Linked DNA regions of Oryzias latipes. The protein of the gene in region 1 purifies or fractionates together with the protein of each later gene. This does not show direct contact. Links are inferred from orthologs where the notes say so. Each region holds a gene or a part of one and is shown in the gene's direction. Other genes may lie near its edges.

What was found. The genes of interacting proteins can lie anywhere in the genome.
Region 2: the proteins of yap1 (region 1) and rpl7a purify together in Homo sapiens (affinity purification with mass spectrometry, with the first as the bait; 3 studies listed by BioGRID). This does not show direct contact. The link is inferred for Oryzias latipes from reciprocal best matches to the Homo sapiens genes YAP1 and RPL7A.
Region 3: the proteins of yap1 (region 1) and angiomotin purify together in Homo sapiens (affinity purification with western blotting; 17 studies listed by BioGRID and IntAct, with this or other methods). This does not show direct contact. The link is inferred for Oryzias latipes from reciprocal best matches to the Homo sapiens genes YAP1 and AMOT.
Region 4: the proteins of yap1 (region 1) and phgdh purify together in Homo sapiens (affinity purification with mass spectrometry, with the first as the bait; 4 studies listed by BioGRID). This does not show direct contact. The link is inferred for Oryzias latipes from reciprocal best matches to the Homo sapiens genes YAP1 and PHGDH.
Region 5: the proteins of yap1 (region 1) and runx2 purify together in Homo sapiens (affinity purification with western blotting; 4 studies listed by BioGRID and IntAct, with this or other methods). This does not show direct contact. The link is inferred for Oryzias latipes from reciprocal best matches to the Homo sapiens genes YAP1 and RUNX2.

Annotation. Positions count from the first base shown.
Region 1 is NC_019871.2:6,488,603-6,492,653, forward strand, and holds the start of yap1 (transcriptional coactivator YAP1), read left to right. Parts: upstream 1-1,251; 5' UTR 1,252-1,847; coding exon 1,848-2,048; intron 2,049-3,148; coding exon 3,149-3,384; intron 3,385-4,051. UniProt on the Homo sapiens protein: Transcriptional regulator with dual roles as a coactivator and corepressor. Critical downstream regulatory target in the Hippo signaling pathway, crucial for organ size control and tumor suppression by restricting proliferation and promoting apoptosis.
Region 2 is NC_019870.2:7,756,639-7,760,794, forward strand, and holds the start of rpl7a (60S ribosomal protein L7a), read left to right. Parts: upstream 1-1,356; 5' UTR 1,357-1,453; coding exon 1,454-1,456; intron 1,457-2,360; coding exon 2,361-2,481; intron 2,482-2,522; exon of another isoform or gene 2,523-2,595; intron 2,596-2,667; coding exon 2,668-2,817; intron 2,818-2,893; exon of another isoform or gene 2,894-2,965; intron 2,966-3,032; coding exon 3,033-3,173; intron 3,174-3,237; exon of another isoform or gene 3,238-3,310; intron 3,311-3,388; coding exon 3,389-3,468; intron 3,469-3,506; exon of another isoform or gene 3,507-3,583; intron 3,584-3,672; coding exon 3,673-3,803; intron 3,804-3,962; coding exon 3,963-4,032; intron 4,033-4,107; coding exon 4,108-4,156.
Region 3 is NC_019872.2:12,828,790-12,833,010, reverse strand, and holds the start of angiomotin, read left to right. Parts: upstream 1-1,421; 5' UTR 1,422-1,851; intron 1,852-4,221.
Region 4 is NC_019879.2:21,728,517-21,732,606, forward strand, and holds the start of phgdh (D-3-phosphoglycerate dehydrogenase), read left to right. Parts: upstream 1-1,290; 5' UTR 1,291-1,365; coding exon 1,366-1,653; intron 1,654-3,426; coding exon 3,427-3,578; intron 3,579-3,653; coding exon 3,654-3,719; intron 3,720-3,808; coding exon 3,809-3,863; intron 3,864-4,022; coding exon 4,023-4,090. UniProt on the Homo sapiens protein: Catalyzes the reversible oxidation of 3-phospho-D-glycerate to 3-phosphonooxypyruvate, the first step of the phosphorylated L-serine biosynthesis pathway.
Region 5 is NC_019882.2:3,136,870-3,141,003, forward strand, and holds the start of runx2 (runt-related transcription factor 2), read left to right. Parts: upstream 1-1,334; 5' UTR 1,335-1,424; intron 1,425-1,477; exon of another isoform or gene 1,478-1,639; 5' UTR 1,640-1,705; coding exon 1,706-1,763; intron 1,764-4,134. UniProt on the Homo sapiens protein: Transcription factor involved in osteoblastic differentiation and skeletal morphogenesis. Essential for the maturation of osteoblasts and both intramembranous and endochondral ossification.

The DNA of each region.
Region 1 (4,051 bases):
GCTCTACTTTACATACAGTGTAAAAAGAAAAAAGAAAGAAGAGATTGTTCCATTTCCCTCAGCGATTGAAAGAAAATTGTTCTTTTCAAGATTCTTGGGAAAAATCGTGGCACCTTTTATGTTCGCAGCTATTTTCTAAAGTGGACTTTCTGCAGGCCTTTTCTGGATCAAATCTGTCTGTGTGTGAAGCACAGAGATGAGTTTAATTCAACAGATTTATCAGGATTTTAATGTCGCATTTGGGGGTTTTCTTCTTGTCAATAGGTCTGTTTAGTTGTACAGAGCAACCTCTGGTCAATATAGGCGTCTCATTTCAGGCTTCATTTTTGTCTATTAGAAATTTGTGTTTGACATCATAGATGGTCACTTCACTGTTTGTGTATGTTTATCGCTAATTATACAAAAAAAAAAATGTTCCTTAATGAAATAAAAAACAGACCATTTCAAAACACTCCCCTGTAAAACAAACTTATCATAAATGGAAAACAAAGTAGCATACGTCAACAAACAAGGGATCCTGGAAAACCTCTTAATTCAATGTTTAAAGTTCCTTTTTGTTTTTTTTTAGAGGGGAGTCGATAGAAAATGATCTGCCTCTGAAACCAGCTTCTACTGGTCATTTTAGGAACTGCAACATTTAATATTTTCAGGAATTCTTACATTTGGTAACTGGATATTTTAATTAAAAGCAAAAAAAAAAAAAAAAAAAGAAATCAAAGAACAAAGGGACCCTGGGAATCTACCTGTAGGGTGTAAATTTGTGGTTTTTCAAATTGGAGAGTCATTGGAAAATCCCCTACCTCTGAAACCAGCCTCTAGTGGTCATTTTAGGAACTGCAGTATTTAGTTCTTTAGGGTTTGTCTCACATTTGGTAACTGGACGCTTAAATTCAAAGCAAAAAACATTTTTTTAAACTGATCCTGGGAAGCACATCTGTAAATTTAGGGTCTAAATTTGTAGTTTCGTAGGAGGGGAGTCAATAGAAAACGACCTCCCTCTGATACCAGCCTCTAGTGGTCATTTTTGAAACTACAACATTTTCTTTTATTGTTATTTTAATATTTTCTTAAAGATCGAGGTAAATAGAAATAAAAGCTATATTTTATAATTTTGTTGTATACTTCATAATTGCTATTTTGTCGCAGTCTTAAGTTTAATGCTTTTTTGCAGGATAAATGGGTCTCAGGATAACTGCCTGTACCTTTAACTCATCCCAGTTGGAGTGTGGCCCCGCCCCCTTTGCGCAGACGTCCCATGAGCCATAAAGTTTTATGTCCTGCTCAAAGTTTAGGCTAACAGGAGGAAACTTTTTTTCGGGGCAGTGAGCGGCACAGATTTGCGCTGAGTCTGCCTTGGAAAATTCCTGGGGAGGAAAAAGTTTTGAAACTTTTCCGAAATTGGGAATGCCGGGACTTCTTTTTACTGCCTGAACTTTGGTGGTGTTACCTTTTTTTTTTTTTTTTTCACCAACTTTTGCGGCACTTTTTTTCTGAAGGGGGGGGGAGTAAAAGCTGGGTCCGGACGACAATACAGATTCCAGAGTGGAGCAGATATGCGCTTTGTTTTATGTACAAGTATGTCAGCTGGGAAAAGCCAAGGAAAGCGGCCTTTCTCTGCTGATTTTGACAGCTAACATCGTTCGAAAACAGCCTCGCGGCGGTCCGCTCGAAAAAGTAGACCGACGTTAAAAAGTCATGACTTTGCAAAACTTTTACTAAGTTTCGTTAGAAGTTAAAGATTTGACAAAAAAAAAAAAAAAGTTCGGGGACGGCTCGAACCGCCTTTGAAAAGTTTCGTAACTCAACGTTTTCGGGCCGCAAAGAGTTCGCAGAGCGCTTGTGGAACAATGGATCCGAGCCAGCACAACCCTCCTGTCGGACACCAGATCGTTCACGTTCGGGGCGACTCGGAAACGGACCTGGAGGCGCTTTTCAACGCCGTGATGAACCCCAAGGGCGCCGTCGTGCCCCAGTCCGTGCCCATGAGGATGAGGAAGCTGCCGGACTCCTTCTTCAAGCCCCCGGAGCCCAAGTCCCATTCCAGACAAGTAAGACCCCCCCCCTCCAATCCCGCGGGGGCCCCGGCCTAAACACGGCCACCTCTGCTCAAAACAACCGCTCCATCTAGTTTTTTTGTTAAAATCACGATTTTAGTCCGTTTTTTTAAATGTATTGTAAGCGCAAATTATAATTTTAATTAAAAGAAAATCATCAAAACATTAAAAAAAAGTTTAAACGTTTTGCAAGAAATGTGGATACATTTATTTGAACATAAAACTTTATTGCGAAACTTTGTTAATTCATTTATAAACAGTCATTTAAAGGTTAGTTAGATATACTTTTTATTTTATTTTAATACAGCTTCAATATAGAAATCATATGATGATTGGATTTACCCCATCAACCCCTCCCTCCCAATTTCCCCTTTCGACTGCTTACCGAAGTTTTGTAACTAGTGCGCATGCGCCGTGCAGGCCCTCTGGTGCCTTGGATTATCTCTGTGGGCCCTGACACAAGTTGGATGCACATCCAGATGACTCAACAGTGTTCAAGTCTGACTTAATGATCATTTTTTTTTCATTTTTTAGAGATTTTTCATTATGCTGCTGTTTTATAATACAGTCCAAAATGAATCACTGTGATACTCCTCATTGGGACAAACAAGATAAATAATGTCTTTGTCTTTGTCGCTAATAAACTAGATATAATGCAGAAGTACTGCAAATTTTTTTTTTGGGGGGGGGGGTCCTAGACAAACAAAAAACAAAAAAAAACTAAATAAAACCCCCACCTGCCAACTTTACTATTTGTTGTTTATCCCCCCCATATATGTTTACATTTCAAATAAAAAAGCTTGTCTTTATGCATTTATTTTTGAAAGCACGCATAAACTGTAATAAAAACTAGAAGAACTTCAGAAGAAGACTAAACAATTCCAAACCCAGCCCACAAAACATACAGTTTATAGATATTAGGAAACGAGACAAAACATGTATGTAGTCACAGATGATCATTCAATGAAAAATACAGTTTATAGGGGACTAAAGCAAGCAGGTCCTCTAAAGGTACATGAAAATATGTGACATTTAGTTATCAATGTATTGAAACAATGTAAAAAAATAAATAAAACATCTTCTTTGTAACTCAGGCTAGCACTGATGCTGGGAGTGGCGGCGTGCTCACCCCCCACCACGTACGCGCACACTCGTCTCCAGCTTCCCTGCAGCTGGGCGCCGTTTCGGGTGGCTCCCTGTCTGGGATGGCCTCAGCAGGCGCCTCCCCCCAACATCTCCGGCAGTCGTCCTACGAGATTCCCGACGACGTGCCCCTGCCGCCAGGCTGGGAGATGGCCAAGACCAGCTCCGGCCAGAGATACTTTCTCAAGTAAGTGTGCAATCTAACAGCGTGTGCATAAAAGTGAACGGGGCTGGAATCGAAAACGGGTGGACAGCAGACGGTAACATCTGGACACCAAAATGGGTCTCGTTTCTTCGTCGAGAGGAGTACGAACTCAAAGCCTGGAGGCATTTAAAAACTGTCAAGGTTCCATAACCTTTCTTCCAAAACATAATTTGCAGAATGCACCTGTTAATGGGACTCTAATGTTCCACCGATTAGGTTAACGCCCATAAAAAAACGGACCAAAGCGAGTCCAACAGATGTGGAACAGGTGTTGTTTTCGTCCAACCTGCAGAACATCTGTTGCACAGACTGTACATGCGAGGCACTGAATGCCCCATCGAGTGTGGCTTTCAAAATATCCCCGTGTGATGAGTTGCACCCAAACATTCAAAGAGTTCTCCCAGCAGATCTTTGATTTCTGCGCCAGGGTCCACGTGCAGCAAAGACCTCCAGAAATCCTTCTGGTTCTCTTTGGTTTCAAGATGGCGGCGGACATCATCGGGCCGGAAGCAGAAATCATACAACTAATCCTAACCCAAAAGTGTTCGGAATTGTAGCCAAAACTTCTACCAAGGCTTCAAATGAGAGAAATCGTAACTGTTGTCAGTTAAAATGAAAATTCTCTGAGCGATAATGGTGGACTTTCCAA
Region 2 (4,156 bases), on another chromosome or scaffold:
AGACGGTTTGCTCCCAACAGTTTTTGGAGAAAAGGCTGGAGTGTGACCCAAAAATGTATGATAAATATTCAAATGAAAGAGGTTTCTTTTAAAATAATTCACAAAATCTACCCCAGCAATCAATTCATGCTGAGATATGTTAAAACAATTGACCCTAACTGTAATGTTTGCAAATGACATCCAGAAACAATTGACCATCTTTTTTGGAACTTTAATGAAAATTGAATTTTTTGGAAAAAGTGTTTACAATTTATCAAAAAACATATTCACCCCAACTTCACTCTGAAATTTGAATATATAATTTTTTGCTTTCAAAATAAAAACTTGGGGTCAAGTAAAAAATGTCATATTCATAAATGCAAATTTTCTTCAACTTCTATTTTCCCCATATTAATCAAACAAATTGAAATATATCTCAGTACCATCTCTAAAAGCCTTCGCCAGAAAGCTGTATGTTTCTATGAAAGTTGTAAAAACTTGAATGTTTTTATGTAAAATGCATGTAATAAGTATGCTCCCCTGGCCTATTTGAAGTTTATTTTGTAAAAATGTGCTTTGTACTATACTTCTGTTTTGCACAAAAAATTAAAAAAAAAAAGATATGACTTATTTTATTTTTTATTTAATGTACACTTCAAGGACACTAATATAGAAATCTATATTATAGATTATATTTTAAAAAACAGGATTTATTTTCAAAATAAATGAAATGAATGAAACTTGTCACAGCAGTGAGGTATTGACATTTTTAAAACGTTTTCCACAAGTTTAGGTGTGTCTTGATGGGAATGTTTGACCATTCTTCCAGGAATGCATTTGTGACAAAGATGTTGAACGTGAACAGCTGACTCACTCCATATAATCTCAACCTGACCTCCATCAATTAAAGGTCAGGACTGCCAAGCAAGATCTTGGACCTTGCTTTGTGCACTAGCCACAATCTCATTAGAACAGCGAAGGCATCATTATATATTTTACACAAAATGAAGAGCAAAAAATTAACCAAAATATCTTGGCATGCTATAGCATGTCAAATTAATTTCGGTAAAATTAAGGGAGTGAGTCAAGCTGCTGAAAAAGTCACCATGGTGACACATATATACACTATAATATCCCTTCCACCAAACTTCATTCTTGGTACAATGCAGTAAAAAAAAAAAAACTACCAACAAATGAAGCTGTTTCACTGCTTAAGCCAGGAAACTAATCCTTGAAGATTTCGTTAATGTTTTGGCAAAAAACTTGTGTTACCCCGCAAACCTTTAATTAAAAATGTAATGCCACCGATAACTCTCTGGTGTGGTTTCTAATTGGTACACAAATAAAGGTTAAAGTAAACAAATGAAAAATCAGATCCTGGATCGAGGCAGCAAACGCAGCATGTTGATGCTCCAAGCCTCGCGGTATTTCCGTTACCCAGAATCCTTTGGTCCTCCTTTCTGCCTGAACCAACATGGTGGGTACATACTTGCTTTTTCCGACGAAAACTTATGCCTGATAAATCTCGTTGCATCTGTGTTTGTATACCTCCTATGTCCTCATCTAATGTCAATTCATAATGTAGTAATCCTTAATATTCATTCTAGGTGGATATTGAAGCATGATTTGACGTGGATAATGGTTAAAATTGAGTTTGATTTAGTGAAACGTACCCGGCAGCAGCGCTTAGGCGAAGTAGCTAACGCACGTTTAAAAAACGACCAGCTCTTTGGACATTTTTCTATTCTAAACATTTTTTGTTTTTAATTTGCTGTCTCGTTTATTGCTAAACTAATACTGAAGTGTGAAGAACTACTAGGCTGTTGTTTATCAGTTTTGAGTGAATGGACCTTAGCTTCAACATGCTAATTGTACTGTTGTGTCATGACTCTGGTTGCTTCGTGTCGTACTATTGTCATAATTAATATAGACTGAACGTGGAGATCCGAGTTTTGTACAGTTATGGGTAATTTAGGGTCCCAATTTTGAGCAGTGCTGCCCAATCCTGGTCCTCGGGAAACACGGCATGCATGATGAACACACCTGGCTTGAGCAGAGCTTGATAGGTAGAATCAAACGTCTTAACTTAAGGAGAGTAACATGGAAAACTTGCAGGACAGTTTTTCCAGAAGACCAGGGTTGGGAACCACTGGTTGACATGTCTTTGCATTGACCTCATTGTCGAATCAGGATTGAAATACAGACTAACAACTGTGTTGCTTTTTTAAATGGCATGATCTGTTAAATTACTTTTTGGTTAAGTTACTTGACTGTTTCAACGGGTGCAGCTTGTATTGAAGAGAATTTCACAAAATTAAATTGATGTCTTTTATTCCAACTTGGTAATGAACTTGATTAACGTTGAACAATGTTCTTTTCAGCCCAAGGGAAAGAAGGCTAAGGGGAAGAAGGTGGCACCTGCCCCTTCCGTGGCCAAAAAACATGAGGCCAAGAAAGTCGTCAACCCCCTGTTTGAGAAGAGGCCCAAAAACTTTGGCATTGGTACGTATCCACTGCTCCTGGTATGGGAGAAACGGTTCTGATGCAGATGATGTGACTGAATATTTGCTAACTTGATATTAATGATGACGACCTTCCACCAAGATCGCTGATGCATTTTTAAAAGTTCAATTCTAATGGGTTTGTGTGTTTATTGCTCTTCTTATTCTTGGGTTTTGTCGTCCACAGGCCAGGATATTCAGCCGAAGCGTGATTTGACCCGCTTTGTTAAATGGCCTCGTTATGTGCGCCTGCAGAGGCAGCGCTCCATCCTCTACAAGCGTCTTAAGGTTCCTCCTGCAATCAACCAGTTCACTCAGGCTCTGGACCGCCAGACAGGTAACACTTTGTAATGATCTTTGGTAAAGTGTCACTATTGGGTGATATTTTCCCTTTGACAATAAAGTTTTTACTTTGCAAGTGATGTAAACGAATATTTGCTATCTGATGATAATGCTGACGCATTTCCACCAAGATCGCTGATGCAGTTTCCTTGTAGCAACAAGTAGTGCTTAATACGTTGGTCAGACTTGTAATGTAAAGTTTATTTTTAGCCACTCAGCTCTTCAAGTTGGCACACAAGTACCGGCCAGAGACCAAGCAGGAGAAGAAGCAGAGGCTGCTGGCTCGTGCTGAACAGAAGGCTGCTGGGAAAGGAGACACGCCCACCAAGAGGCCTCCTGTTCTCCGTGCAGGTAAAATTCAGAGAAAATGTGCCAAATAGTTCATAAAAAAATCAGTTTTGATGTTTTGGCTGTTATGCAATGATGTTCAGAATTTCTTCACCTGAAACTTTCTATGATGGTTTTTGAGCTTTTTAACCCTGAGCATTGGCCATTATCCATAGTGAATGAATGGACGGTTTGTTTTCATGGAACAGGTAAATGTCATGATTCCCTTTTGTTTCCAGGTGTAAACACTGTCACAACTCTGGTGGAGAGCAAGAAGGCTCAGCTGGTTGTCATCGCCCACGATGTTGATCCAATTGAGGTGAGATTAGTGTCAGGTTTTTGTCGCGCTGCGGTCGCTGGCAATGATGTCTGAATTTCTTCACCTGAATCCTCCGTGTGGATCCAAACATACGAGCTTTTTAACCCTGAGCAGCGACCATCAGTTCTAAAAATTGACTGAACCTTACAGCCACTGATGTGGATATTTGTAACATATTGTCACTTTTCGGATGTTCTGCTTCAGCTGGTCGTGTTCTTGCCTGCTCTCTGCCGCAAGATGGGTGTCCCATATTGTATCGTCAAGGGCAAGGCCAGACTGGGCCGACTGGTGCACAGAAAGACGTGCACTTCTGTGGCTTTCACACAAGTTAACCCGTAAGTATCAGCAAAAGCTAAACTTTTATCTCGGGGCACAACCCTAACCTTTAGGTTTTGAAATGCTTGTCTAGAATGTGTATAAAAAGTTGTTTTTACATGTAAATAATGCAAAAACACTGCATGTTGGAGCTGCATTAACATTTGTTCTCGTCACAGTGAGGATAAAGGGGCACTTGCTAAACTCGTGGAAGCCATCAAAACCAACTACAATGACAGATTTGAGGAGGTGAGGTCCAAATCTGTTATTTACAGCATCTGCATCATATTTTTCCCTTAACCTCCTGAAATTCTTTTTTCTTAGATCCGTCGTCATTGGGGAGGCAATCTCATGGGTCCCAAATCCACAGCCC
Region 3 (4,221 bases), on another chromosome or scaffold:
CTGTCATGCGACCCATCTTTGACACTTTGTAGCTCATTTCTAAAATGTTAACTGTAAATGACAGTGATAGCAACCATTTCCAGGACAAGTGGGAAGGGGCATATTTTTCAGTAAAATAGGAAACAACTATGTCTGCCTCTTATGCCAAGACACCGTGGCTGTTTCAAAAGACTATCATGAGGGACTACCAGGCAAGACATAGTAACTACAACAAGCCGACTGGGACTGAACGGTGTGCACAACTTGCAGTAATTTTTGCAAATATGTATTTAAATGTGTTTGTTTTCTATGTGAAGAAATGAAAAGTATGCTATTACAAAAATGTTCATTAAATATTTCACTTGCATTTAATGTTACTAAAATAGTTAATGGATTGTCAGGCTGAATAAATGGCCCTCAAATATTTTCACATCACCAAATCTGGCTCTCTTTGCTAAAAGTTTGCTATAGACCATGTATTTGTTATGTAGGAAGTAGCCTATACTAACTGAATACTTCTGCATACTAAATTGGAAAACTATATGTTTATAATATAGTATATAAAAAGCAAACTTCAAGTATACTGCCTCACTTTTAGGATGGACTATACTTGGGCTAAAACTTTAGTATGTTAATGTTTAGGGTTAGGATGTAGTGGGTTGCTAAAATGGCCCTTTTTGTGTATCTACTCTACATAATCAAATGGCTTTTCTTTATTTGTTTGAAATATATATATATTAAAAAAATTGATATAGGGTAAAAGTTCTTGTTAGAAAGAAGTACAGTGGATCATTATCCAAATGCAATGTTGCGGTGGGGTCAAGTACTTATATCGAAAAATGTCACAAAATAATTTGTTTTTGCTTAAAACGTTGGGAATCTTTGCTGAGCCACCCTGGGTACGAATTGAAGATAAAGCGGTTCAACTGTGTCTAAGATTCTGTAGAACCAACTCGTTCTTGTTCCAGTGTCCCACGTTTTTCTGAGACACCCCATTCGCATTCGAATCATGTTCTAAGTCTAAATAGTTTGGGTTTTTGATAGGAGAAAACAACCTCCGGGTGAGTTTGGCACGTGCATTGACTCTTGACTTTTCCTACTTTCCGCGCGGGCTCCTGAAGGCAGCGGAGGAGCTGCAGTCACAAAGCCCCTTTGTCATTTTTCCGTTTCTCCCCTCCTCCCCCCCTCAGGTCGGGGCAACTTTCTTTTCTCTCCTTATTGCTGTGTCATGGAGGAACGTAGCATTAGTACAAGCCGAGTTGTTTCAGCTAAACGAGCACATCAAAGCACTTTTATTAAACTTGTTGTAGAGAATGCACATATTTATCTTTAGAAACCACTCCCTCCATGTTGGTCTTAATAAACTAATAAATAAGTGCGTCGTAACATAAGGTTTGGAGTTCCAGTGAGCTGCCCCCTTGTGTGTCTGTTTTAAAAGAATGTGACTGATTAGATTAGGAAACGGGAGTAGGACGGCTCTCCGTGCTCCCTTACAAAAAAGGGGAAGAAAAAAGTTTTTTTCATCCAGTTTCCATTAGATGTAGGAGGACGTTTGGGGAGGGAGGGGGCTGGAAATTCCTGTCATGCTGCAGGGCCAGCCTGGAGGGAGCTTCCTGCCACTTTTTTTTTTTTTAAACGTTCTTGTTCTTCCACGGCGGAGAATGAAATTTGATGGGAAGGAGCGAGACGTCGTGTCCGCGCAGAAACTCATGGAGACCTCCGGAGACTTCCAGGACTGAGCCGCCTCAGGTTTCCTGCGGAGGAGTTTGGTTGAAGAGAAGGGGGGCACTGCTTCTGTCCAACGGGAAAGGGAAACGGCATGTTTAGGTGTTTTCAAGGATCGGGGAAGTAGAAAAGAAGCTCCGCGGAAAGGTAAAAACCTAAGTATGTGTGCGCCGGGAGAGCGTTCACACTGATGTGAACGTCTCGCACTCCTGTTCCGGGTCGTAAAACTGCATTCCTCGGGAGTCCGCTCGCTTTCTTTGTAATCATCTACTAGAGACCAAACTGCCGCGAACAGCTTAAACATGACAGCCATCTCTGTTCACTCGCTGCCTCTTCAGGGATGCTTTAAATGTTTTTAGATTTTCTGGAACTTTAATGAATCAGAAGAAACTTTTAGGCCAGATGTTCAAAGTAAGACTTTGCATGTTTTTATGGGCCTAAAGCTCTAATGGTGGCACATTCAAAGTTTGATTGGACATCTTAGGTTTTACTTACCCTTTCACCCTTTAAAGACGCTATAGGATTGATAATATTTGGTTTTGGATTGTTAATATTTAGAAAGTCTGTCATTAAATACTAAAAAAGTTCCTCCAACATCCAGCTGAGCATCTTTATGACATTTGCTCCACAAGGTGAGGAAAGGACAGATGCATGTAGGGTAAAAATATGGAAGCCCAACAGAGAACACACATTTAAGGTTGTATATCAATTTCAAATTTACATAAAATAAATTGTGCTTCAATAAACAAGCGTTTATGGAGCTGTAAACCCTTTCTTCAAAGTAATTTACTTTTTTTGCACACTTTAAAACTTCTCCAGCGATTGGAAATATTAGAGGCCTTGTTGGTTTCTTCAAGTGTTAGGGTGTCGAGATCATTTTAAAAACAAAATTAATGAAAGGGAGAATTCTTATTTTTATTTTATTCTTATCTTTATTTATTTATTTAAAAACAACTTTATACAAGTGGAATGGGGAAGTTTACTCATCAAATGACTCAACAACACAAGGGAGATTAGTGATCTGTGAGAAACGCAGTACACATTTTTGCCAAATCATGCTTTATTAAGTTCATATGAAATACTAGCCGGGTGTTCCGTTTCGTTCTTCATGGCTAGAGTCTGGATTTTCTTATCCCTTGTACCCCTGGTGGAACCCACCTGGTTCTCCAGTAGAGGGGGCAGGGGCGTCAGAAAAACGAGCAGGACACCTGTTTTCAAGGACTGGGATTGGACGTGCAGTGCCGTGGAGCTAACAATGACTGTGCATGGATCTAATAGAGAGGCGGTGTGGTCACATGACCCAATGGTTTCCATGAGGTTAATTTGACTCTAGTTTTCAACTCTCATTGATATTAGGATAATAGGAGGCATTAGGGTCTAAGGGTAGGAATGCCCAGTTTAGTTTAGTCTGTTTAGTTTTGTTAACGATTGCCTGTTGTATTTTACGACTGATTTCATGTTCTGATACAATTACCGGTATAAAGCCTGTTGAGACAACTATTTTGTATTATTGGGCTATATAGATAAAATTCAATTGAATTAAATCTTCCATTGGAGCCATTGCTTAAGTACACGAAAAGCTGACCTTCAATAGAGTTGTGACTTTGGAAGCACAATAGAAAGCATGAACAGAAAATGTTTGGTGTAGAGGTAGAGTAACAGAACTGGTTGCAGTTTGGGTTCCTGCTTTGTCTGCCCATGTGTCAAAGTGTCCTTGGACAAGACACTGAACCCCACATTGCTCCAGGAGGTTTGTCTAGTGCCTTGCATTGCAGCTCTGTGACCATGAATGTGTATGCACGGGTTGGCAGGACTTGTGACTGTATGGTCCTTTGGGCCTTAATCGGATTAAATCAAAAATTCAACTTGGAAGTTTTATTCATTTTAGTTTTCTTTATTTAACAAAATAAACAAGCCTGCTAGTTTGGGCTGCAAGACATCGTCTCAACAAATGCAATTCAGATTTGCAGTTAAAGAGGATTCTGGCTGTTTGCTACATATGATCAAAAAACTAAAAAACAATGGCCCAACTATTAAGCATGGTGGAGGTGTGATGATTTAAGTTTGATTGACACCTGTCCTTTCCATCTTGTCATTATTGGATTGACTGTGAAAGTTCCTATATAGCAGCCTCTTTTAGAGTCCATTGTGAGGTCATCTGTCTAACAGCTAAAGCTTGCCTGAAAGTAGGTCATGAAACTGGCCATTGACCAAAGGTTATGAAGGTTAAGTTGTTTAATGTTGTCATAGCAACCAATGAGACATGAGAGCTAACGGCTGATCTGTGAGCTCTGGCTGAGTTAAGAAAGTGCTCCTCTTAGCCAGACTGCAGATTCCCGTTGCTTTTTTTCTTTGCATCCTTTGCTTTTGTATCTGCTGGTACCAATGTACCCAATTATGCCGTCATTGCATCTACAGTAGGAAAGAAGAATGTCACAAAACAATAAAATGTTCAATGTCTTCATTAGTTATCAGTAATACAATTAAATAAATTAGATTTATGCGGTTCAATATAAT
Region 4 (4,090 bases), on another chromosome or scaffold:
TGTCATATGCTGTTTAATGAGTCAGGAGATCAACAGTGTCTTAAATCTAGCGTCACATGATCTGATTTTCTGGACAAATTGAAGAAGTATACTTTTTAATTTGGTTTCTCTCTTCGTTCTGGCGTTACACAGTAACAAATCTTTGACTATCATTTGAAATGCTACATGCTTAAACCACATGATTAAAGGTACAGTGACTAAATAAGATATGTATCCCTCATTAAATATTGTAAAAGAGGAAAATAGAAAACGAGGCGCTAAGTTTTGTCTCAATTTTTTGCCCTTTCTGGAGATTTGTACTTGCACTTTCAGTTTATGGTCCCTTTTAAGATACAAATTCCTTGTTGAAACTTTGTTCTCAAATTGAAAAAAGAAAGATAGAATACTTTCTGCAAAAAAGATAATTTGGACTTTTATCGATTCTGTAGATTTTTGGCTTTATAGTTCTTATTTTTGTCAACACTTTAAAAAGTTACTTGTGGCATATACAGTGTATATATCAAAGCAAAAGAAAGCAAAAAACAAAACAAACAACTGAAATCTATGCAGAAATATATCAAATATGGGATAATTAGTCATAAAATTGATTGGAAAATGTGCATACATCCACATAAAAAAATTTTTTTATTACTCTTAATCATTAGCTCTTTTGCATCACACAAAGAAACAATTAGGTTTGACCAAAGTAGTTGAATTGATTGCGTGAAAGGGAATGGGAGGGGGCAAACTTATATAACCCCTGGCTTTTGCATTACTAACTAAATAATTATCATAAGCAACTATTGCTATTGAGTTTTTTGTTTTTCCAATTTCAATTTTACACATTTATTTCCTTTTAGATTTTTTTCAAACAATTTAAGATTTTTTTATGATTATCTATAACATTTTTAAAACAATATTGTTTTTTTTTTCTACCTGTTTCACCATTATGTCGTTATTCTGGCACCTTTGGAAGTTGTAGCATCCTCTGCTATTTAGACCAGATTTTCTTTGTTTGTTTTTGTTTTTTCCCCATCTTCTTCAGTTAATTCAGCACCAATAAAGTTATTTATTCAATATTAGTGCTTACATTATAGAATCTCTCCAGCAATTAGCAGTACACACAGTTTTCACTCCTTTATCCATTGTATTTCCTACATTTTTTTGCCCTTTTTTAAATTAAAAGCCACTTGGGTTACAACTATTGCGCTAGTTCATGAGTTCCTACATAAAACTATAACCATCGCAGCTGTTTTGGTTCTTCATTTTGCAAAAAGAGGTGCTTTTTTTCAGTGGGTTTTCTGCTGGCAGAGCTCTAAAGAGTGACTCTTCGAATTCATCTCCAGTCACGCCTGAACGGGTGATGTGCGGGAGGCGGGACCACGCATGCTTTCAGCTTGGAGAAAGCCGTTTCAAAAGACTAGGGGTTTTGGGGGAGGAACTCTGAAGAGGACCCATCATCATCATCATCATCAGTTCACCAACTCTCCTAACCGGCTGCCCCGCATCCGCAACCCCACAGAGAAAAATCCCAAGATGGCCCCGACCTCCATCAAATCCGTGCTAATCAGTGAAAGTGTCGATCCCCGCTGCAGGGCGATCCTGGAGGAAAACGGCATCCTAGTGACGGAGAAGCAGAACATGAAGAAAGAGGAATTGATTGCAGAGATTGGGGTAAGAGCGGGTCTTTTGTTGTGGAGGCTCCGAGGGCATCGGGGCACTTTTCTCTCACGCACCGTATTCCTGCGCGTACGTCCTTTATCTCGATAACGTGCTTTAATGGATGCATGTAGAGACATGCTTGCTGGATTTTGCACGTGGAGTCCGATTACCCAGATGATCTCAGCTCAGTTCCGCCCTATAGGAGAGCGGGAGGCTGATGCAACTCATCTTTGACTTTTCTTTAGACGCATTCCTCTGCGCACCCCCGTCGAACCAGCTGTGTCCTTGAACTGTAAAATTTATCAGATTACATCCAATCTAATAAAAGAAAAGAAAAGTTGCTGAACTTTTTTTCAATTATTTTTTTATTTGCTCCATCTGAATGACTGTTGTTATTGGAGCTGATTCCCAGGGCCGGATTCGTCATGATTTGAGTCCTTGGGCCAAATTGAAGTCATGGGCACCATTTATAAGATTTCAGTTTAAAATGTAGGTAGAAGACTATAAAGCTGTAAATTTATTGAACATCTATAGTTAAAGATCCACTCTGATGTAAATCGTGTTTTTGGCATTTTAACATGTTCTTGCTGCATTTTCTCATGATGGAGGACAAACTTTGAGAAATTTAAGCCTAAAATAGCATTTTCTGAGTCTTTCTTTATTCAAATAATTGTGAATCAGGCAATCGCGAAAAAGATTTGCGATGCAGACGCTACCAAGGCAAGCCACAAGCCCCCTGTTCCGATCTATTCTAATGCATCCACTTGCAGACAAAGAGATCCATGAACGTCTTTGTTTTCCTGGTCTGAGCTGGCATCTGGCTCAAAACTGTACAGCTGGATAGCTCCAATATTGCTAGCTAATTTTTTGCACCAGTAATTTTTTGTTGAGGGTGGGAGGGGCTGTAAACTAGTGGGAAAGCATGTAAACAGATTGGAAGGGGGCCGGCTTACTCCCAAGCCAACAGTCCCGCCCACAGCTCAGAAGCAAATTTCTAATGAACTACTACAGCTCTGCAGAAAGTATGTCCTAGAAAATGTCACAGGTTTTTTGATTTTCTGATCGGAGAGGGACTTTGAAGGAAAAAGTTCTTCAATCACAAGTTACTGTAGAGCATTACAGCAAAGATAGCTTACTCGTTCATGTTTTATGCACACATAATATTCTGTCTGTTGCTAATTTGTAGTGTGCTACTTTTCATGTGTTGTGCTAATGCTCCTAAACCACAAAATACAGTGGTAACACAAATGCACAAGTAACTTTTTTTTCTTCCTTTTAAAAAAAATGCAATATAAAGGATCAATAAGTTGAAGTTCTGATTGCAAGAATTATATTTTTAGTGGTTAATCAAAAAATAACAGAGCTAAATTTTTAAAAGACCTCCTCTGATCATCTTTTAAGCTATTTTAATAGTGATCCCACCTTGCATATTTCGACGTCACAAATAAGCCCCTTTTAAGCAGCATCTGCTCCAAATTCACAGTGATTTGAATAAAGAAATACTCAGAAATGCAGTTTTACGCTGAATTATCTTTATACATGTCCTCCATCATCAGAAAAATGCCACAAGAACATGTTAAAAACACCAAAAACACCATTTTCATTATAGTCGGCTAATCAGAAGTTAGTCCTAGGCACAAAATAAATTATAAACAGTTTTTGTTATGGTCATGTTGTTGAACAGCATTCAGGATTTAAGTGGATTTCATAATAAAGTGGGGTAAAATTTTTATACATCACAGCTGTTTTGTTCATCTGCCTTTTGATCACTTCTTTACATTTTAGCTCTATGATGGCCTTGTGGTCAGATCTGCAACAAAAGTAACAGCTGACATCATCAGTGCCGCTCATAATCTCAAGATCATCGGGAGAGCTGGGACCGGTGTGGATAATGTGGACGTAAATGCTGCTACCCATAAGGGCATCATTGTCATGAAGTGAGTCCCCAGTTTTAAATACTGATTCTGGTCACCGTGAAGGGCCCAGTGTAACTTTCCACTGTTTTTTCCCAGCACACCAAGCGGTAACACAATTAGTGCCGCTGAGCTGACATGTGCACTGCTGATGAGCCTTTCAAGGTACAAACTGTACCTTTCTTCTACCATCGGTAAGCAGACCTGCTATTAGCAAGGGGATTGTTAATCAGAATTTTTTTGTTTAATTTTAGGAATGTGCCTCAAGCTGTAATGTCAATGAAAGAAGGGAACTGGGACCGTAAAAAGGTAAACAGAGGCTTTCCATCTAGCCCTTCGTTTGCTTCGGCTCATAAAGCAATTGCTGTTGCATGGATGGTTCCACTGTTCATCCGCTGGTTAATAATCACATCTGACACTTGGGTTCTCATTGTTTGGATTTTGGGTGCTTTATTCCCTTCACTGCAGTTCATGGGTTCAGAGCTGTATGGCAAAGTTCTAGGAATAGTTGGACTTGGAAGAATCGGGAAGGAAGT
Region 5 (4,134 bases), on another chromosome or scaffold:
TCGTAAGGCCACCTGTAGGGGCTTGATGAAAATGGTAGAACCATCGTCATGTGTGGTAAGTGTATCCTGAAGTGTTTGTAAGGAAGTTGCAAGCACTTAAACTTGCACGCGGCTTGTGCATAGATCCCCAAAAACAGTCGTAGAAACTTGTGTAGCTACGCGTTAACAGTAAAGTTGTGAGCGAAGAAGCCTGAAACGTGTTTACGCAGACTTTTCGTTGGAAGTGGCCGCTTGAACGCGATATGCAGAGGGTTATGTGAACGTGGCTTTATAGTGCAGAAGATATGGTCCACTGACTCAGGGATCCCAAAATGATCTGACACTGCTCCTGCTTCCATTCCTGGCATTCCTTTGCGTCTGTCTTGTCTGCATTTCTGATTTGTATCAAACACCTGTGATCGCTGATCAAAGGTTAAGCATGCTGGGATGTGTGGCGGCGTTTGTGGGAAGCAGCGCGTGATTCATCCCCGATTGTCCCGACCTGCCTGCTCACTTGGTGGAAGTTTTCTTTTTTTTTGTCTTTTTGGCAGGAGCGTCTGCGTTAATGTGACTGTTTGTGTGCCACAGCCTGTATTTTACTGTGAAGACAGGTGATCTATGACTCTTTACAGGAAGCCATCCCCCTCTCTGAGCCAATCACATCTCACAGCCAGCACACAAACACGTCCATTAGTGCATGACACCATGACATGAGTGCTGTTTGCAGCAGAGCGGCATCCCACGCTGTGAAAGTGACTGGCTCTGTAAATAAGCAGCGTCACAGCAGCTCTCGTCTCCTTTGCCGCTCTTTCTGCTGCACATGCTCGCACAACCCCCCCTCAGACGCTCACACCCAGTCTAACGCCGCCAGCCGTTCCCGCCTCGCTCACACCCTCAAATCTTACCGAGCTCAGCTCTCTCTGCTCAAAGGCAGACGGGAGCAGCACAGCCGCCTGCAAAAGGAGCTGAGGAGCAGAGTGGAGCGGGGGCAGAAAGCACTGCTCCCCATATGCCGAGGTGGGCACAGGCGGTTGAACAAGCTGCCCCCCACTGAACCCTCCTGACTCATGGGAGCGTCAGACCCAGGTCCCCAGAGAGGCTGGAAAACGCCGCCGTGCTACGCGGAGAGGAGCAGGAGAGGAGGGAGGTGAAAACTCTGAGGAGAGGAGGGAAAGCCACAACGGTGGGCTGTCCCACTCAGCTGCTGTGCCGTGATGACGTGAGAGGGCATGTGACCCAGGGTCTCCAGTGACGGCACATGGAGGGCAGGAAAGAGACGAGTTTTAAAGCTGGTGCCTTTTGGGTTGTGTGAGGGCTCTGCTCACCTCCCAAACAACCACAGAACCACAGACGTGCGGCTCAGGGGTTTGTGTTTGAGGGCGACTCGGAGCGTAAATGGTTAATCGTCGCCGGCCAGCACCACTCACAAGGACGACGCTGAGCGAGTAAGTACGTTCCAACCACACTCGCCAAGCAAGCAAGTCCGACAGCAACTGATCCATCCGCAAAGGCGAAATTAACCCCTGAATTTTTTCTTTTTTTTTTTCATAAAACCAAACTGGGTTGTTATTTGCGGTCATCCAAATAGTTGATACGTAAAAGCGCTCTTAGTGGATCCAACTTTTTCCTCTTCATGACATGCTGCGTGCTCTTGGTTTAGGACGTGTCAAGGGTCACCGAAACCACAGAGGAGCAAAAGTGGGGCTTGCTGGAACCAGAGGCAGCTATGGCATCCAACAGTCTTTTCAGCACAGTGGGACCATGTCAGCAGAACTTCTTCTGGGGTGAGTACCACTGTCCTGGACGGGTCACGGGGACAACTTGGGGTCAAGCGGTGGGGGTTTTGGATGTCTTCCTTATAGTCTTGGATCCAAATGAAGGGTTTGGGTCCAGATGAGTGAGGAAGATTCGCCGAGGCCCGCCAAAGGACTCTGTAATCAAAGTCAAAGCAGTTGTGGCTCATCACAGCTTTTTGTGGTGCGCCAACTCCAAATGAAAACACTCCGAAAAAAAAAACAAGAAACTGCTGTGAGAAATGCCAGTATTTACGCCATCTGATGTTTAGAAATACTTCTGAAAGAGCGGGATGGTATGTTTGTGCAACCTACTCATGGATTTACAAAGCAAAGTCACTGCAGAAACCCAAAAAAACAAAAGTGGGGAGCAATATTTTTGACAGACGTAAACAGACGCCGGTCTTGAGAGTTTACAGTCCAGCATTGAAACAAGATGTGGGGGGGGATTACTGCGCACTGCGGCTGTTTTGGTGTCCTACATGCAATCGAGTATTGATTAGTTGTAATCGCTTCCTGAAGTGGTTCGCTCTGACTGCTGGGATTAATTAATCCGTCTGAATAAACGCAGCAGCCAGAGAGCTGTTCATCAGCTGACGAAGATTCCCGTTTGTGACTTGACGATGAATCTGTGCGATCCCTCAAACCTGAGTTTCTCACATTTGCACTTTTTTTTTTTGGACCAAATAAAATTCTGTTTCCTCCATAATAATGATTCTCACCACCACCTTTCTGCGTCAAACCCTCTGTTTCAGTTTTTTGTTTTCTATCTTTATGATTTAAGCCGAAAAATGTGTTGTTGTTGTTTTTTTTAATATATTTTCTGTCCTGTTTGACTCCAGACATTGGCTCTGTTTAATAAATCCCTCCACATTTCACCCCTCCCTCCTCTCCTCGTCCAAATCAAATGTTTAAAAGATGTTTTATAGAAGTGGCTCGGTGATGAAATTCTGCTACTCCGGTTCTCCACACAGAAGCAGGGTGGCTCCTAATGTGCTTTAAAGTGAGCGTCTTCCAACAATCACCACCACCTATTACTGATTTAACCTCCAGACCTCTCTGGTCTCTGGGGTTTTTGGGGCACGGGAGGACAAGAAGTGAGGAGGAGGAAATTGAAAGCATGCCGCTGTGGAGGTCTGTAGGCAGAAGAGCCGATGTGAGCGAACGATCAGGTGGCTGATCGGTCCTCGCACGCCGTCTGATTGACACTGGCGCTCCCCCTCATCGACATGGCTCCTGTTTATGAACCTCTGAGCAGTAAATCTGTCGGTGCGACCACAAAAAGTCCCCTCGACGGCGCAGTGTGATTCTGCAAGACCACCAGTTCTTTCTGTTATATTTATAATTCTGTATAAATAAATGCACAGTGCTGGGCTGTGTCAGAGCGGGTTAAAGTTAGACCTGAAAATATGGCTTCAGCAGACAGAATGGAAGCAACATCAGGACGGATACATTTTTTTTTTATGTTTATCAATTTTCTGTTTTTTTTTTAATCATTTTTCTTTAAAGTTTCTCTTCATTTCTATAGATTTTCCCTAAAAAACATCTATAGTGTGCTCCTTCCAAATCCTACAATAGAAGGTCTAATTCAGGGGTGTCAAACTCCTTTTCACCGAGGGCCACATCCGCATAGTGGTTGCCCTCAAGGGGCCAGATATAACTGAATGTAATGAAAAATATAAAATATTTATTATAACTCTTTAAAGTGACAATTACAGTTGCATAGGAAACATATGTTTGCTTGTTACTCTAGCATAAATCCTTTGAAATTTGATTCTATATATAGCCTAAACTATATTGACAATGTTTAAGTCCTAATATGTAGCTGCCCAATCCAATAATTTAAGTTCAATTCCCCCTAGATATGAATAAATACACACCAATTTTTATTTTTTTATTTACATTTTTTTTTAACTTTTATGCTCTCGCGGGCCACATTAAATGACATGGAGGGCCACATTTGGCCCCCGGGCCTTGAGTTTGACACATGTGGTCTAATTAAAGGGTCGTGAGGAAACCCTTCTATTCTACTGGGGTCATAATTGACCCGTTTTCTCTTGAAAATGGGTCAGTTTTGACGCCAACACCATATGTGAAATTTATTTAAACTAAATTGGATCCAATCATTTTTCTAGTGGGTCAAACGGAAAAACATTTTCAGCTTTCTCAGCCTCTCCGAGGAGCATTTAAAAGCTCATTTTCTCCTCTGCAAACTTAATTGCATTAAGACAATAATGTCCCAGGAGGGGGAGAAAAAACACAAAAACATTGAGATGCAAAGATCCCGAAGCTTAGGGGCCGAAAACTTTCACCAGAAAAATCCCTGATCGTTTGCTGGGTCCATATGTATCTGAGAAAAGCA